4 linked regions of the Coturnix japonica genome follow. The protein of the gene in region 1 binds, or shares a complex with, the protein of each later gene. Links are inferred from orthologs where the notes say so. Each region holds a gene or a part of one and is shown in the gene's direction. Other genes may lie near its edges.

The links. The genes of interacting proteins can lie anywhere in the genome.
Region 2: the proteins of CALCRL (region 1) and RAMP3 are in contact, whole or in part, in a cryo-EM structure (PDB 6UVA), measured with the Homo sapiens proteins. The link is inferred for Coturnix japonica from reciprocal best matches to the Homo sapiens genes CALCRL and RAMP3. Residues at the interface, in NP_001258680.1 of Homo sapiens: Arg38, Asn39, Met42, Thr43, Gln45, Tyr46, Glu47, Tyr49, Gln50, Met53, Trp69, Asp70, Ser117, Arg119, Thr120, Phe228, Leu231, Ile235, His238, Thr239, Val243, Val245, Lys249, Gln250, His251, Trp254, Tyr255, Phe257, Leu258, Phe262; in NP_005847.1 of Homo sapiens: Trp56, Cys57, Leu59, Phe62, Ile63, Tyr66, Glu67, Thr70, Cys82, Tyr83, Pro85, Asn86, Pro87, Leu88, Gln90, Ile93, Thr94, His97, Arg98, Cys104, Thr105, Val106, Asp107, Arg108, His110, Leu111, Glu112, Asp113, Pro114, Val118.
Region 3: the proteins of CALCRL (region 1) and RAMP1 are in contact, whole or in part, in a cryo-EM structure (PDB 6E3Y), measured with the Homo sapiens proteins. The link is inferred for Coturnix japonica from reciprocal best matches to the Homo sapiens genes CALCRL and RAMP1. Residues at the interface, in NP_001258680.1 of Homo sapiens: Asn39, Met42, Thr43, Gln45, Tyr46, Glu47, Tyr49, Gln50, Lys51, Ile52, Met53, Gln54, Thr68, Trp69, Asp70, Gly71, Arg113, Arg119, Thr120, Phe228, Leu231, Ile235, Thr239, Val243, Ala244, Gln250, Trp254, Tyr255, Leu258, Phe262; in NP_005846.1 of Homo sapiens: Trp59, Ile63, Tyr66, Arg67, Ala70, Phe83, Trp84, Pro85, Asp90, Phe93, Leu94, His97, Gly98, Phe101, Arg102, Cys104, Pro105, Ile106, Ser107, Gly108, Arg109, Ala110, Val111, Arg112, Asp113, Pro114, Ile118, Leu119, Phe122, Ile123.
Region 4: the proteins of CALCRL (region 1) and RAMP2 are in contact, whole or in part, in a crystal structure (PDB 3AQF), measured with the Homo sapiens proteins. The link is inferred for Coturnix japonica from reciprocal best matches to the Homo sapiens genes CALCRL and RAMP2. Residues at the interface, in NP_001258680.1 of Homo sapiens: Arg38, Asn39, Ile41, Met42, Thr43, Gln45, Tyr46, Glu47, Tyr49, Gln50, Lys51, Ile52, Met53, Gln54, Trp69, Asp70, Gly71, Arg119; in NP_005845.2 of Homo sapiens: Trp86, Ile89, Tyr93, Ser94, Arg97, Leu109, Gly110, Pro112, Glu117, Ile120, Phe121, His124, Gln125, Phe128, Ala129, Cys131, Ser132, Leu133, Val134.

Annotation. Positions count from the first base shown.
Region 1 is NC_029522.1:5,191,140-5,194,647, forward strand, and holds part of CALCRL (calcitonin gene-related peptide type 1 receptor), read left to right. Parts: intron 1-1,892; coding exon 1,893-2,111; intron 2,112-2,654; coding exon 2,655-2,696; intron 2,697-3,508. UniProt on the Homo sapiens protein: G protein-coupled receptor which specificity is determined by its interaction with receptor-activity-modifying proteins (RAMPs). Together with RAMP1, form the receptor complex for calcitonin-gene-related peptides CALCA/CGRP1 and CALCB/CGRP2.
Region 2 is NC_029517.1:42,832,580-42,836,514, reverse strand, and holds the start of RAMP3 (receptor activity-modifying protein 3), read left to right. Parts: upstream 1-1,135; 5' UTR 1,136-1,337; coding exon 1,338-1,389; intron 1,390-3,935. UniProt on the Homo sapiens protein: Accessory protein that interacts with and modulates the function of G-protein coupled receptors including calcitonin gene-related peptide type 1 receptor (CALCRL), calcitonin receptor (CALCR) and G-protein coupled estrogen receptor 1 (GPER1).
Region 3 is NC_029522.1:8,560,587-8,564,769, reverse strand, and holds the start of RAMP1 (receptor activity-modifying protein 1), read left to right. Parts: upstream 1-1,383; 5' UTR 1,384-2,387; coding exon 2,388-2,427; intron 2,428-4,183. Other genes in the region: RNA-binding protein 44-like, read left to right, coding at 3-151, 273-419, 1,032-1,035. UniProt on the Homo sapiens protein: Accessory protein that interacts with and modulates the function of G-protein coupled receptors including calcitonin gene-related peptide type 1 receptor (CALCRL) and calcitonin receptor (CALCR). Required for the transport of CALCRL to the plasma membrane.
Region 4 is NC_029542.1:4,631,948-4,635,894, forward strand, and holds the start of RAMP2 (receptor activity-modifying protein 2), read left to right. Parts: upstream 1-1,147; 5' UTR 1,148-2,529; intron 2,530-2,586; exon of another isoform or gene 2,587-2,646; 5' UTR 2,647-2,737; coding exon 2,738-2,798; intron 2,799-3,563; coding exon 3,564-3,692; intron 3,693-3,772; coding exon 3,773-3,875; intron 3,876-3,941; coding exon 3,942-3,947. Other genes in the region: histone-lysine N-methyltransferase EZH1, read right to left, coding at 341-387. UniProt on the Homo sapiens protein: Accessory protein that interacts with and modulates the function of G-protein coupled receptors including calcitonin gene-related peptide type 1 receptor (CALCRL) and calcitonin receptor (CALCR). Required for the transport of CALCRL to the plasma membrane.

The DNA of each region.
Region 1 (3,508 bases):
AGAAGGAGCTTTTCTGTCTTTCTGATGTTTTCTTCCTTCCCCTGCTTCTCTTTTTTACTCTATATAATTGTTGGCAGGAAGGACAGATGATGCAAAGAGGAGATAAATGAACTAGACGCTATTACTCCACCCTCTAGAGTGGGATGCTAGACAGCAGTCTCGCCTCTCATTTCCTTGGGCACGGTCCTTGGATTGGCAGCACTCTCTCGAGGGGGCCTTTAGCTTTATTTTTATAGCGTCTCAAGTGTAGTTTCTGTAGGGGTTTTACAATGGATTAAAATAGAACCCTACCATTGCTGCTTGTCTCATTATTTGCATTCTTAGACTGTTGAGCGTGTATGTATGTATTTATATGCATATACATATGTGAAGACATTGCTTTTCGAATCGAGAATGAGCTCTAATATGCCGACTGACAGTTAGTATGGATAGCTGTGTTTGCAGTTTGGTTTTTTGGTTTTTATTTTTTTGTTTGTTTGTTTTGGTTTGGTTTTGGTTTTGAAACTAAATGAGCAGATATTCACTACTATTCCCCAAGAAGCTCTTAACAGCTACGGTAACTATGTAATAACACCGAACTTGTCAGATTTCTTTTACTTATTATTCTCTATAGATTATTCAAATTCACAGTTTAAAAAAAGAAAAAAGGATAGTCCTTATGAGAAGCCTGTTTAAAATACAGAGATGGGAGAATGTCATTCTTTATCAGGCCAACCTACAAGGTGCAATCTTTTAATAAATAGTTAACACTCAGGTCAGTTTGTTATTTCAGCCATAAAACATGGGACTATTTAAAATTTTATTGCAAAATAAATAAATATTAACGATAGGGATTTGACACAGTTCTCTTACTGCTGTGGAGCTCAGGACAACCTTTCACATTAGTACCCTAGGTCTTCAAAAAAGAGTGATGTTTCCCCCCCCTTTTTACATTGAAATCTTAAGAGAGCATTACTGTGACAGTATTGTTTTTTAAACTGTAAAAGTGAATGGAAGTTTTTGGACAGAAGGGCCAAGGTAAATTCAATTGTTTTTAAAATAAAAGTGCATCCGTAATGGAAATTGATTAGTTTTCCAATGTAAGCTTTTAAGATGAAGTGAGCGATCGCCGAGATGTATATAGACGAGGAAGGGTAGATTTTAAACCATATACGGAAACAGATTTTTGCACTGCTGTAAGGATCTCAACTGCAGAGAGCCGCGCTCGAGTTGCATGTATTACATTCACAATGGATCGCTGAATTATTAGGAGCTAATTTCAATCAGACTGCCGTTACGGATGCTGTGGTGATATCTGTGTGCTTTGCTTACCTTTTCTCAGAAAAGTTAATGCTGATAAAGGTCATTCCAAAGAATGTAATTATAGTTCATACAGGGCTATTAAAATGCACAACCGGATGCAAAATATTAAGCATTTTCAGCTTTGCACCGCATGTCAGATCTTTGTGTATATCGGCCTGCAGCTGTGGCCTTCTATAAGGCGCTTCTTCTGCATCAGTCACGGCTGGCAGTTCATTTCTATTCCTTCTTTTGTACAAAACAGCAACTGCCACTCTGTTTTTCACAAGATGCAGTTTAAATTCCTCGTAAGCATCATTCAGATTTGTACTATTAGTGTACTAGCAGAGAAAACGGATTGTAAACACTGGAAGTAGAACTTCGGTTGACACTCCCTTGAAAGGATAGAAGAAGACGCTCTGGGATTAGATGTCAGAGCCCAGTCAGCCTCATTTTCTTTAGTGTGTTTTCAGAGAGTCTTAACTTTTGGTAATTGTGTGACCAGAATGTTGTGTACGTGCTGCGTGCCTTTTTAGTCTTAGGGCTTTTAGCATTAAAAAGTAGCCTGCGGTTTATTTTCAGAATAGCTTCATTGTCCTTTTCTTTTTCAACAGGTGAATCTTTTCTTCTTGTTAAATATCGTCCGTGTGCTCATAACCAAGCTGAAAGACACCCACAAGGCAGAATCCAACCTATACATGAAAGCGGTGCGAGCCACCCTCATTCTGGTTCCCCTGCTCGGCATCGAATTTGTGCTGTTTCCGTGGCGACCGGAAGGTCGAATCACAGAAGAAGTCTATGACTACGTGGTGCACATCCTTATGCATTACCAGGTAAGAATTAAATATGTTTTGCCCATCTGTCAGCATATCATCATATCATAGTATCATAGTCTCGTGTGGGTTGGAAGGGACCGTAGAGATCATCGAGTCCAACCCCCGGGATTCGAGCCTCTGTGTAGCAGAGCGGCACTTCTACCACTTGTGCCACAGGGGGGATTCGAACCCCGGGCCCCAGTGTTGCAAGGCGGCATTCCTACCATTGCGCCACCGGGGCACAGCATATGTAACAAACAAAGGAAAAAACGATCCATTCATTTTACTTTATAATATAAAGACCTTTATGCAATAGTCCCATCAACAACTTGAGCTTTCTCAGTGTACTGAATTTTTTTTTTTTTTTGTTTAAAGAATAGAAACATACCATGGTCTATTACTAGTTTGTAGAGTGTTCTTATAAACTGGATGCAGATATTAGATTTATAGAACGTTCCGTTTGCTATGTTATCGGAATAGTATTGGGAACCTCTGATTGTTTTTCAGACCTGAAAAAATCCATGCACAAGTGAAATAAAGAAAGTTATCTTTATTTTACAGGGTCTACTGGTAGCAACAATTTTCTGCTTCTTCAACGGAGAGGTAAAGTGATCATTTTTATCGTATTATTTTGTGTTTATGGATCATGTCTATTCTAGCCATAAAGGAGATAGCACACCTGAAAAACATAGAAAGTCAGAGCTTAATAGCTTGTTGCGCCTCGGTCACAATTTCTTGAATAAGAAGCGTACTTTTGAGAAATCACGATTAGTTAGTTCCAATAACTACCTTCTTCATCTTTTTGCCCAAGAATCACACCATGTTTTGTTATTTTATGGAATGGGTCCCTGTTGCAGCTCTTAAGCATTCTCTGTCAACTTGAATAGAATAAGGTCTTGTGAACTGAGCTTCACCCATGAGAGTATACTTAGAGGGCTTTAGCATTTAAGATAGACACAGTAGAAAGCCTAAATATATATGCATACGCACGCAAATTTTCTCGGTGCAATTTTTGCAACTCACAATTGAAAGAAAAACCACAACAAACGGATAATAAATTCCCGACAAAGAAGCAGGACTTAGCCAACACTGTTGGCAGAGGAACAGGTACAGTCCTGTCCTTTTTTCTTTCACATCCGTCTGTTCATTTTTTTTTGCACTTAGTGCAGTTGCATGTTTTAATGGCACCAAACCTTGAGTTTCTTTCATCCCGTTGCGTTCTTCCATCATTTTATCAGACCAGCAATATTTACTTAAGCGTTAACTATTTGGCTAATATTCATTTCCCATAGATCTCGCTTCCTCCCCTTACTCTTTAATCTCCAGTCGTATGAATTGCAATGAACATTCCCTGTGGTTTCCGGATACATTTTGTTCACAAGAAATTCATGAGCGTCAGTCTGTGTCATTATTAT
Region 2 (3,935 bases), on another chromosome or scaffold:
ATGGAAATCTTTTTGAAGTTTAGTTTCACAGTGTACTGTTACAATGATGTCTGTGATTTAATGTTTGACTGAAAGATAGTTACTGAGGTGAATTGTGGCTTTTTATTCTAGAGCAGTACAAATACTTCTAGCTTAGAAAAGGCTTCTTTAGCAGGTTCTCAGCCTGATGTTTCTTTGCAGAGATCCTTATTTCCCAGAGAGAGAAAGAACTCAAGTTCACAGCATTTAAGTATTTATAAAAATGAGGGTCTTACCATTCTCCCTGTGGGCAGGGCCAGACAGAGATGAAACAACACAAAAATAAATCAAGCATCTTTATGGAACTTGTGGCTGCTCTGTTCTGGGTATTAAGTTAGATTTCTGCACATGTTCAGCTCTGGATATTAGTGAGTTACTGTGTTGGTGCTGCAAGTGAGCTAGCACATGTAGCTCTCCAGACCTTCATGCCTTCAACCCACTGCTGGGTTGCAGAGGCAGGAGGTAGGGGCTGCTTCAACTGGAGCAGGTGAAGGGTTCCATTCTCCCCTCTTGGATGCTGGTAGCATGCATGTTTTCTGTGGGTGTGAGAGAGTGAAGCACCCCTTTTAGTTCAGTTTCTTGGGAGTGGTATCATGTTGCTTGCTTGCTGTGGCTTTTGGGGGGCCTGCTGGCATGGTTGCATGTGCATGTGGGCGTGCATATTGATGTATGTGCATAGGTGCACACATGAACCATACAGCTGCACACCCGTATGTATGGATGTACAAATGCTTGCAAATGGGTGCGCACATGCATGCACATGGATGTATATTCACTCACAGAATCACAGAATTGTAGGGGTTGGAAGGGACCTCTAGAGATCATCCGAGTCCAACCCCCCTGCCAAAGCAGGCTCCCTACACATACACTCATTCATGTGTATATGCATGTGTTCACATGGATGCATGCGTATGGATTTGCACAGGCATATGCATGGCTGTGCACATGAATGCACACACATGCACCCACATTCATGGACACAGGCACACTCCTGTACACCTGTCTGTGCAGTGTCGTACATAACCGCACACAAATGCACCCGCCCGCTACTCATGCTCACGGAAAGCGCACGCTCCTGGCGCACCCCCACCCGCATCCCCCGCTCGGATCCTCGCAGCCCGCCCTGCCCCGCCCCGGGAGCACCCCGAGGGCGGAGACGCTGCGCGCTCCCTCACCCGCCTCGCCGCCGCCCGGGGCCGCCCGCCGGGGCGTGAAGGAGAGCCTGCCCTGTGGGAGGGAGTGAGACGGCCGTGGCATTGCGCGGCTACGGATCATCACCCCATGTGGGCTCCGTCCTTCGCGGCCCCATCCGCGCTGGGATGGAGGCGTCCGTCCGTTGCCGGCGGCACCTTCCCGTCCTGCTGCTTTGGGGTAAGCGGGACGCCGGGCCAGGGCGAGGCGGGGTAGTGGGTAGCAGCTTGTCGTCCCTAGGCTTTCCGCCCTCGCAGGCGCGGGGCTGAGCGGCTGCAGGGCGGCTGCACTGCGGGTACGGCGCGGCTTCTGCCCCCGAGCAGCATCTCGCAGGGAGATCTGTTCGCTGCAGTACGGTATGGTATGTGCATCCCTCCCGAAACTGAACTGAGCAGCACTGCTTGCCGTTCTAGCTGGGAGCCCCAGTCCGGTGTCTGTGAAGCAGTTCCGAGTGCGTGAGAGGGGAAAATTTTCACTGGTAAAGGAAGGGTTATTTTGTGTTAGAGTGGCTGGGTTGCTCACGAGCAGTGGTAAAAGTGCAGATATCTTTCAGACCTTGCACTTAAGGAGAGATCAGCTCTATTTCCAGAACTACTTGAGTGGCTTGTTTATTTATTTATTTAATTATTCATCATCAGGTAGGTTGTCTTAGGACTCTGAGATACAGTATGTTGTGGTCAGTCAGAAGTTTGTGTCAGATGACAGCTCTGAACTTCACTCCACAGTAACCTCCAAGATGCAGCTAATGTGTCATGGATAGGAGAAAAGAAAATCAGCCTTGTAGATTTAGACTGAGTACTACTTAAACTTTGTTTGCTAGCTTCTTACTCTTTCCAAAATGTAAAGCTGGTAAACACTGGAAATACCAGTAACTATATTGACTGTTACACTGACAGTGTTAGGTAATGTTGTCTTGATCTCCCTGTCACAAGAATGTAATGCCAAATAAATAGAGTTTGGAATTCTCCATGTCTTGAGGACTGCTAAAGCCTTACCTTGATCATTTGGATTTTTTTTCCTTTTCCAGCTGTTGAGGAATAATAATAGTAAAAAAAGGCTAACACCTACCTTGGCACATGATAATTTGTGCAACCTTGAGCTTAGTGAATCAACCAGTAATTTTTCTGAGTGGGAAATCCTCCTGATGTTACTGTGACTCTTGCAATGTGAAATTACAGAAGATTTTGGAGAGCGTGTAATGAGGAGCAATGTTGCTGTGGTTCTGAAAACTAGCAGTTATTTTTCACCAGAAAGGAACAGGTAAATCAATTGTGCCAGGCAGTTTTTGACTGTGCTTGTTGCTTGCCTAATAGCACTAACTAAATGGTTTTAAGGATATCTGATGACTGATAATGTGTTACTGTTGCTATAAGTTAGGAAGGATAGATATATTCAAAAACTAGACTAAATCATAGACATTTCCTGGTAGAAAAGCCATTTGGGAGCCCTGAAAATTTTGAGACATGAAATCTTGTGTGTGTATTTCTCCCTTTTTTCTAATGGCTTCTTTTGATTAACCAGAGAGCCATAAACTCTCTGTAAGCTGAAGAGTTGTCCAAGACTGGTAAGGAGTATCTCAAGTCAACACTAGTCAATCAACATCACTTTGTGGATAGTTTTACATTTGACAGTGTTTCTTGGGAATGTTTTCCTTCGAATGGGAGGGCCCAGGAGTGTCTGTTGGCTGAAAACTTGTCCTGTGAGCAAAGGATTCCAGCTTGATACGGAAGACTGGGAAATGATACCACTGTACCCTGTGAAGATGATACAAGCTGACGTCTCCCTGCTTCCTCTTATCTCCTGATTTAAATTTACAAAGCATGGAAGACAGGAGCAAAGGAGTTCCTGCTGTGATCCTGAAGCCAGAAGCTGTCACTCTCTTGAGCAGGCTCGACCACTTTGGACTATAAGTAAGAGGTTGTACTGTTGTCCTACTTATCAGCTGAACAACACAACCTCCTGTGAACTACCACTACTAAAGATCAGAATCTGACACCAAGACGTCATTGGTTTGAAGAGTGGTGAACCTCTTTGCTTCGCAGTTTGTACATCTGTCCATCTGTGTCACTTTCCCCATTTTCTATCTTTTATCTTTACAATCTTTTGTTCCTTGTAGTAGCCGTTGCCTAATGTTTTCTTACCTATAATGCTCTTTTTTTTTTTTCCCTCTCTGAGTATTAGTTATCGTTAAGAAAGCTCTCAGTAATAAATTCGTGTATATTTTTCCTCCAAGTCTGGGATAGCTCCATTGCGGTAGTGACCCCTGCTGACTATGGGAGACGCGACACGTGAAATAGATTTACCTCTTGAAACCTGCGGAGTGGGACAGGAGTCCTCAGTGTTAGCGCTCTCTGAATGCTATAGGAAGCTTGTCTTGTAAGGGACTGGAACCTCACTTCTGCATACTCACACCACTGCCTTCTGCCTGTCTTTCTGTTTATGGCTTTTAAAATATTATCATTACGTAGAACCATCTGTTGTACTGTCCCTCTTTGCAAAGATGGCAAAAAGGCAGTTGTGTGTGTTTCCTGGAAGCACAGAAATTATAGAAGTTGGATTTGCTGTGACCTGTATGCACATCTGTTGGGATGAAGGAATCTGTGAGCTGAGGCAGCTGACACATAGGCACGTAACTGATACTGTTCCCATATGAAGTGTAGATGCTTAGAAGTTATCTACCAACTGTAGGGTAGGATCTAAGCAACTCAGAAGTAGTGATGCATCTA
Region 3 (4,183 bases), about 3.4 Mb from region 1:
AGGCTACTGGAGGAAATTCCCTGCCAAAAGCACCTGCTGCTCCTGCCTCCACTAATTCATTAGAAGCCTTTATGTCTCCTAAAGCACTGAACTTGAGCAGCTTTGCCAAATTAATGAAGAAACTTAAAGACGTTCATCCAGAAGCCAGCAGGTGAGAGTACTTGGATTGCATTTCTGCCCTGATGTATAATGAATACTATAGCCAGGAGAAGCTGAGCGCTAAATAATGGTACAACAAGTGATGTCAGCAGCTGTTTATGTTGCTCCTACAGAGATAAAATCGTGGATGCTCTGCTGGAGGTGAGGAAGAACAATAATGGTGTCCTAAGTGGCTTGTCCATCAGTTCTATTATGGAAAGGGCCTCTGTAATCCTAAGGAAACCAACGGCTGTTTGTACAGGGAAAGGCAGTGGCGATCAGTAAGTATTCCAGCCTACAACATAGATGTGAATTAATCTAGCTGCATAGCCTGACAATGAGAGCTCCCTAGGAACCTGTTCCTGCACAATGAGTATGAATCACTACAACAGCAGATTCTAAAGATGAGGTGCTGCTGCAGAACGTCTGTGAGCAGAGCAGCTTGCTGGCTCTGTGCACTCATCAACCTGGGTGCAATGGGGGTTTCACTGTGCGGGTTTTATCGATGAACGTAGTGGAGTAAATTAACAATGTTCTGGCCAAAGGTGACATCTAGTGGCCAGTTCCTGTGCAGCATTTCACAGAGGAACTCCAGGCTCGATTCTGGTTTAAAACCTGACGATTTTTTCTCTTGTGTGATATTTATTCCTGCTGTAGGTACTGAACAGAATAAGTTTGCTTGTCCCTTTGCATTTTAGCGTAATAACTTTTTGGTACGCAGTTCTCAGGGCTAGGAAACCTCGCTCCTGCATGCAAACTTCTGCCCTCCATAGTAAAAGCAATACAGCCTCTAGTGGTGCTCTGGGATGCTGACAACGCCGCTGTTTTGTTTCGCCTTACACGTGTTCAGGCAAAACTTAATCTGCTTTTCCTTTATCTTCCTTTCTGCGTAGATGATGTAATGAAGAACCGACCACTTCACATGACAGATTTTTGCAGTCCAGCTCGCTCCGGGATTGTTCTGTCCTTCTTGTTTGTTTGATTTCGTGACAACTCGCTTAGCATTGCTGTTTGGTTTGCAGTTCTGTTTGACCGAACATAGCCCCAAGTTCTTTTCAGCTTTTTGTGCAGACAGATATTGAGTAATTCTTCCCAGTTTGGTTGTTCTGTGTAGTTCCCCCTGTTTCTTATGAGGTTTTAAGGCTCCCATTTTAGCACGTTGAGACTTATAGCAGCAGGACTTCTTTCTGCTGAAGCACACAAGCCCCGGCTCCCGGTGCCGCTCTGTGTCAGGCACGGTGATAGCTGCCATGCTAACAAACAGCCGGCACGCTTACGTGCTTTCCAGATAACAGTTCCAAATAGTGGGCAGAAATGTCAAGTATCCTTTTCACGCAAGGCAGGGGAGGGAGAGGCAGCAAGGGCCGGCTTGCAGATCGCACGGCGCTGGCAGTGCGCTTACATAAGCCCCGTGCTGCAGCGGCTGCTCTGAGCAGAGCCTTGCCCAGGAGGGCTGGGTCTAGAAGCTTTTCTTTTGGGTCCTATAGCACTGTGCAGGGGAAAGCCTCTCCCACACAGACCCTCCCCGAGGTCTGCTTTGGGTTGATACGGGAGCACCCAGCCTTTTGTTTGCCCGTGGAGCTGCTCCCGTGGTTTTACATCCTCTTCTGGCGACGGAAGGAGAGGCAGCTGGGTGTGTGCCTGCTGTGGGGCTGAGGGAAGAAGCCAGCACTGATTGTCACTGGCGGGCGTGTGCTGTCATACCACTCATTGCTGTCCATCTCTGTCCCTTGGCTGTACTTTGCTCCTGGCTGCCCGTGCTGCCGAAAGCAGCCTTACCGTGAATAAAGGTTGAGATTCCTTCTGCCCAGAGTTGTGCTGTCGTTTTGCTATTTCCACCCCTCACTATTTGCTCTCCCCTCGCCGTGGTGGCAAACGCATCCCAAGCCCCGGTGCTGCGCTGCCAGGCGCTGCTGCTGCTTTATCCCGAAGCTGCGGGTCCAGCCTCCGCTTTGGTTTCCTCCCTGCCCGCACCCAGCTGAGCGCTTCGCCCTACCGCATCCCTAACAGCACACACCGCCCTCCGTGCTCCCTAGTTGTGCAACGAGATGGGCACGGTGCTTTACGGAGGGAGGCGTTCTGCTGCGACGAGAAAACGGGGATGTCCGTAACGCAGAGCGCTGCCGATTCCCGCAGGTGGAGCTGTGCGAACTCGCTTGATTTCTGTTAACACGAAACAAGCACCAAGGACGGGCACGATCGCGCCGCAGCTCCAGGCGAGGCGGCAGCCGGGCCCCTTGCTGCTGGCCATGGCACTGCTGCCCCGCCGCTTCCTCTGCTTCGTGCTGGGTGAGTTGGGCTGCCCCGGCATCCAGGGGGGAGAGGGGGACCCTGAGAGAGGCTCCTGAACGCGGGCTGTGCGGGCTCTGCCCGCTCCGCGTTGGCTGCGGGGGGAACGGGAAGGAGCGGCCGTTCCCAAGTGCTGAGGAGCGATGGGAGTTGGGCTCTGTGTGTGCTGCCGGCGATGCGGTCCGACACGGTCCTCTGTGCGCGGTGGGATGCACTGAAGAGCGCTCACGTCAGAAGACATCCCCTGCCTTTCGCTTCCAGTGCAGAAATTAACGACAGGGAAACCGCTCTAGGAGGGGTCTCTCCGTTTTTTTTCTCCGTTTTGCCATTTCTTAACCAGGCGAGAGGAGAGGAGCCAGCCAGAAGTGCTCCTTCTGGCCAATGCTTCTGAGCTGGGGATGGATTTGCAGGTGGGAGACCGCCGGTCACTTTGGGAACTCCTGCATCAGCCATCTGCTTTCACAAGGCGTGAGGTCTCCTCGATGTTGGTAGGGTTTCGTGCGCAACAGGTAGAGGATTGGCTTATAACCCGAGTATACTCATTAAAAACCTTACCACTGTGCTTTGGTACTTTGTGTGAGAAGCATATTTAGGATTGCTTAAAAAAGAAGCCGCACAGTGCCATGCAGCTGCTTTTGCGTGACACTGAAGTGCTCCTTGAGGAAACATAGCCTTGTTCTTTCCCCGTTTGCACTTTAGTGCAGGTTTTCTCCTGGTACCCTGCTGAATAATGCATGGGGCTGCACTGGGCTCATCCCAGCGCTGTCATTAACTGCACTGCTCTGTAGCTGCAGCTCGTTCAGGGGGAGTTAGGGCAGGCAAAGTGCACTCTGCTCTGCTAGGTGGGACTGTGAGGTACCACTGCCAGCACACAGCAGCTCCTGCTGCTGTAAGATTTCTGTCTGCAGTCCCTTTCCCTTCTCTAGGGTCACAAATGTAAGCCGGCTTCTGGGACATGACCCCACGGGGAGCTCGAGGCAGTGTCCCTCGTGATGGGATCCCTGCTGCTTTCCCCTTCCAGGGGTGGAATTCCCCCACCTTATTCCTGTGGTCACTCGCATTGTTCCCATCTGTGCAGAGCCCTAAACCCAATCTTTGCTGTTCTTTAACTGGTGAAACATCCAGGTGGAAGGAAGTCATGGCCAGGAGGCTTTCCTGGTTTGGCTGCAGGACTTCTGCTCGTTCTTTTACTGCACCTTCTGCCACGTGGTTTGGGTTCAGGGGCTTTGGAAATAACAGAGCGGGAGCTGGTGGTACTCCAGGCTGCTCTTTTCCAGTTCCAGCACTCACAGCAGGACGTCTGCCTCAGTGTAAGCCACTTAGCTGTGATAGATGGCAGCTAATCCTGGCGCTGAGTTGGGGATGCATTTCTTTCGCTGTGTCCTTTTGCAGGCTTTTATTTTAAAGTATGTCCTGCTCTAGTTGGGTGAAGAAAAAAAAAGAAGAAAGATTAAAAGAAAAAAAGCCTGTTTGTTCCTTCCTGCTCCATGTCTGTGCACAGATGTGGCTACACTGGGGGTGACCGCTGAGACAGTGGAGTGGTGAATGCTGAGGTCGCTGATGCTTCTGATGAAGCAGGTGTGGATTTTCTTTTTCAGAAAGGAAAGATCAAACAAGCTGTGCTAACAGATGTGCCGGCAGAGTATGAGTGCCGAGGCAGACACAGAGAGCTCAGCTCTCAGAGTGCAGGGGCTTTGCTGAGCCCTGGCTGCCGTGCCAGTGCAGCTCCTCGTGCTGAGCTGTGGTCTCATGGTGC
Region 4 (3,947 bases), on another chromosome or scaffold:
GACTTAAGCCTGCCCTCTATAGCTTATGGACAGTCCCCCTTGTCTTGTCGCTGTCCAAGCAGCTCTCCTTCCTGCTTGTAATCTTTCGATTCACAGGGCGCTGGGAGGCCAACATGTCAGGAGCAGTGTTACATCCAGCTCAGAATATCTCATTGCCAGGAGGCTGGGAAGGACATTGCGCAGGCTGTCAGCACAGGACAGCTCCTGGCTGGGAATACACAGTGCGACCTGATGGAGAAGTTGGAGCCGGGGGTTTGGGCATCGGGCATCGCCCTGTGAGCCCAAGGGACGCTTCAGCTCCCATCCAGGAGTCTGAGTCCCCGGCCCGGGCTGTACGTACCCAGCGGGCCGCTCCACTCCACCCACGGGGGTTCCCTGGGCCCCCATCACCGCAGCCTCCAGCCACGAGGGGACACGGGGACCCCCGGTGGCTGCCGGGACGGTGACACTGCGGAGTGTCCGGGACAGGCCTCAGCCGCTGCCCCGCCCGGTGCCCGCTCCCAGGCCTCACCCAACCCCCGGGCGCTGCCCCGTCCATCGGGCCCGGCGCACCCCATACAACAGCCCACGGTCCCACGGGGCCCCACGGGGCCTCAGGGGACTTAGATCTGCCCCCTACGAGCAGCCGCCAGCCCCCACAGGGCACGGCACTACCACGGCACTACCACGGCACTACCACGGCACTACCGCCCCGCTCCATCCCCCACCCCCGCCGACCCCTCGCTCCCTCCCGGGCCCCTCCCGCCGTGCCGGGCCGCCCCCCGCCCCCCGCCGGACCCCAGGCCCCGCCCCGCCCCGCACTCACTCCTCGGCCATCGCGCCGGGGGAGGCCGCGCTCCCCGCGCACTGCGCATGCGCCGCCGTAGCCCCGCCCCTCGCCGCCGCCCCGCCCCGCGCGGTGCAGCCCCGGAGCTGCGGCTCCGACCGGGAAGGGCGGCGCCCCGCACCGGAACCGGCCGCTCGCGGCCCGGCCCCGCCCGGCTCCACTCGGCTCCGCCCGGCCCCGCTCTGCTCGGGGCTGCGGCCGGGCGCTCCCTTCCCCAGCCGCGCTCCCGGCCGGGCCCCTTCCTTCCTTCCTTCCTTCCTTCCTTCCTTCCTTCCTTCCTTCCCCTCCGCCCAGCCGGAAGGAGCGGGGGGAACCCGCGGGTCCCTGTCCGGGCAGTGAGCGGGGCCGTTGGCTGCTCATCCCACAGCTCAGCCCCGGTCCTGGCCGTATCTGCTGCCTTTGAGCCCGTCCTGCTGAGTCGGGCAGAACCTTCCGCCTTCCCTGACATTGGGTTGAGCGCGGGTGGAAGGTGCCGAGATGAGCTCGGTGATACGCCCCGGCACGGGGGGAAGCTGCAGCCGGTGGGAAGATGCTCGTCGGGGCTGCGGCTCCTGCTCCCACTACCGGCAGAACCTGGGGTCTGGGTTGGACCCAGCGCAACCCCCGCAGCCTCACTGCCCACACTGCGCTGAGCCCCAGAGCGCAACGTGGGCAGCTGCAGAGCGAGTCAAAGCAGCAGGCGGGGTCCAGGCTGCGTCTGTGCCCGTTGTGCCATGGGCCGAGGCTGGCAGCAGGGCTCGGGACGGCTGCAGCCCAGCCCAGAACATGGGAAATGCTTCCCCCGCTGCTCAGTCGAGTCCCCCTCACAGCACTGCAGCCAAGGGCTGGGGGGAGCTTGCAAAATGGGGCTGGGGAGCAGTGGGTGCTGGCAGACTGCCCCGGCTGTGCAAGGAGTGGCCGGCTGAGATCACCGGGTGTCACCCTGGCAGAGGCTCCTGCTGCCGGCTGCAGCTCCAGGGCTGTGACAACAAAGTGCAGAATGGGGCTGTGACTTTGTGCCGCAGCCTCGTGGGCTCCCGGTACCGCTGAAGGGCTCCCAAGTGCCAGGAGGGTGGCGGCTGCCTCAGCCTGCACATAGCACGTGCAGTGTGTTGCAGCAGGAATGTGCAGCACAGCAATAGAATCCTTCCAAAGCAGGGAGGGTCCCCATGAACTGCAATTCTCTGCTGTGTGATTTGTGCTCTGTGAGTCCCATGAGTGGATTTTAAAGGGAAAGCTTTGGGCTGGAGCTCAGCCTTTGGCAAGCAGTTAGATGAGCTCGCGTGGCCTGAGCTCCATCCCCGGGTGGGGACCCTGCAGAGCCAGCACCGCGCTGCCCTGAGGTGGGAGCCGAGGTGGCACGGGATGAAGAGGAGCTCTGCAGCCACAGTCCCTCGCCCCATCCTCTCCTCCTGCCTGCTTGAGGCTCGCACACCCGTGGTACCGCCGCCGTCCCTTCCAGCCCCACCCGTGCCCCCGGGGCAGGTGCCACACGGCGCCATGAACACGGGGCTGGGGCCGTAACGACCCCGAGCCTCCAGCAGAACCCTCCGGGGACGTCCTGCTCCACCGTCCACTCCCCCCGCTGCCGGGCTGCCTGCCCTCCACGCAGGAGACGAGGGATTTCACAACCCAGCCCAGACAGGATTAAAGAGAAATACACAAGTAAACAAACAGCGGCCTTGTGAAGCGGCCGTGCTGCGGGAGCCCCTCTGCTGCCCAGGGTGAGGTGTGGGGCGATGCCCGGGGGTCCGACACTTGCTGCACAGCGGTGGGGTCCTGTGGGGAGGGCTGCCTCAGAGCAGCACTAAGTAATCTCATTTTTCACACGTCTCCTGTAGTTCAAACAGCCCCTGTCAGAGGAAAGGAGTTGCTTCCTGTTATTTCCATTGAAATCCTTGTCCCGGTCGCTAGCCCGCAGGCTCCAGCAGGATGGCACCGTATGCGCAGATGGGCTCTGGCTGCCTCTCCCGAGGGCTCCTGCTGCTCTGCGGTAAGTGCTCGGCCCCACAGCACGCGGCTGCACCCCGGTCAAGGCAGGACTTGTGCTGGGTGAGCGGGACACAGTGCTACGGCAGCCATCCAGCACCACCGGGCACTGTGGGCGGCCCCTTCCCCTTGGTGGGCAGCGATGGAGCGTCTGAGGGGACCCGGTCTGGATGGCAGCTGTGCCCTGGGCAGGGAGCGTGCCAGGGCCAGGGGACTGGGCGCTGGGGGCACGTGGGCTGCCCTTGCTGCCACAACTGTGCCAGTGCACAGCCGCTGTGCCGGCCCACAGCACACGGCCAGCCTGCACAGGCCACAGCAGAGTAGCTACCAGGGTGGTGTGCCATGCCCACACCGAGGGTGGAAAACAGACAGGAGTGATCCTGATTCTGGGGTCTGGTGGGGCCTGAGGGGCTGTGCCCCATGCCAGTGAGTTCCACAGACGGGGGGGGGCGGCAGGAGGCTCTGTCTCGTGGCTGTGCTGCGCTGCGGTCAGCACTTCCTCTTCCCGATTGGAAATAGGTGCTCCCTGCCCCAGTGCCAGGCGCTGAGTGCAGCACGGCCCCACGGTGCTGGTGGCCCCCAGTCACCCCGTCACCCTCCATCCCATCACCCCGTCACCCTCCATCCCATCACCCCGTCACCCTCCATCCCATCACCCCGTCACCCTCCATCCCATCACCCCACCGCCTCCCTGGGCCTCCTCGTTCCCATCACTGCTGCAGACCCGTGGCTCCCCCTCCTCAGTGCTCAGCATGTCCCCCTCCTGCAGCACTGCTGGTCCATGAGTTCTGCCGAGCGGGTGCCACGGCCGAGAGCTTTGGGCAGGAGGCAAGAACAACCCCAGCGGCCAGAACAACCCCAGTGACGCGTGTGTTCAACTTTACGGCTGAGATGTTGGGTGAGTGTTGACCCCTTTCCTCATCCCCAAACCCCTCCAAGGCCGCCCCATGGCTGCGCTCAGTGCCCACCCCCACACAGAGGTGATCTACACCAACTTGACACAGCGCTGCTGGGAGTCCTTCGAGCAGCTGATGCAGAACGTGAGCGGTTCCCAGCTGTGCGAGTGGAAGGTCATCAGCAGGTAGGGGGGGACGGGGGCACCGAGCCGGGGGTGGCGGGCAGCCCAGTGAGCTGTGCTTCTCTGCAGGCCGTA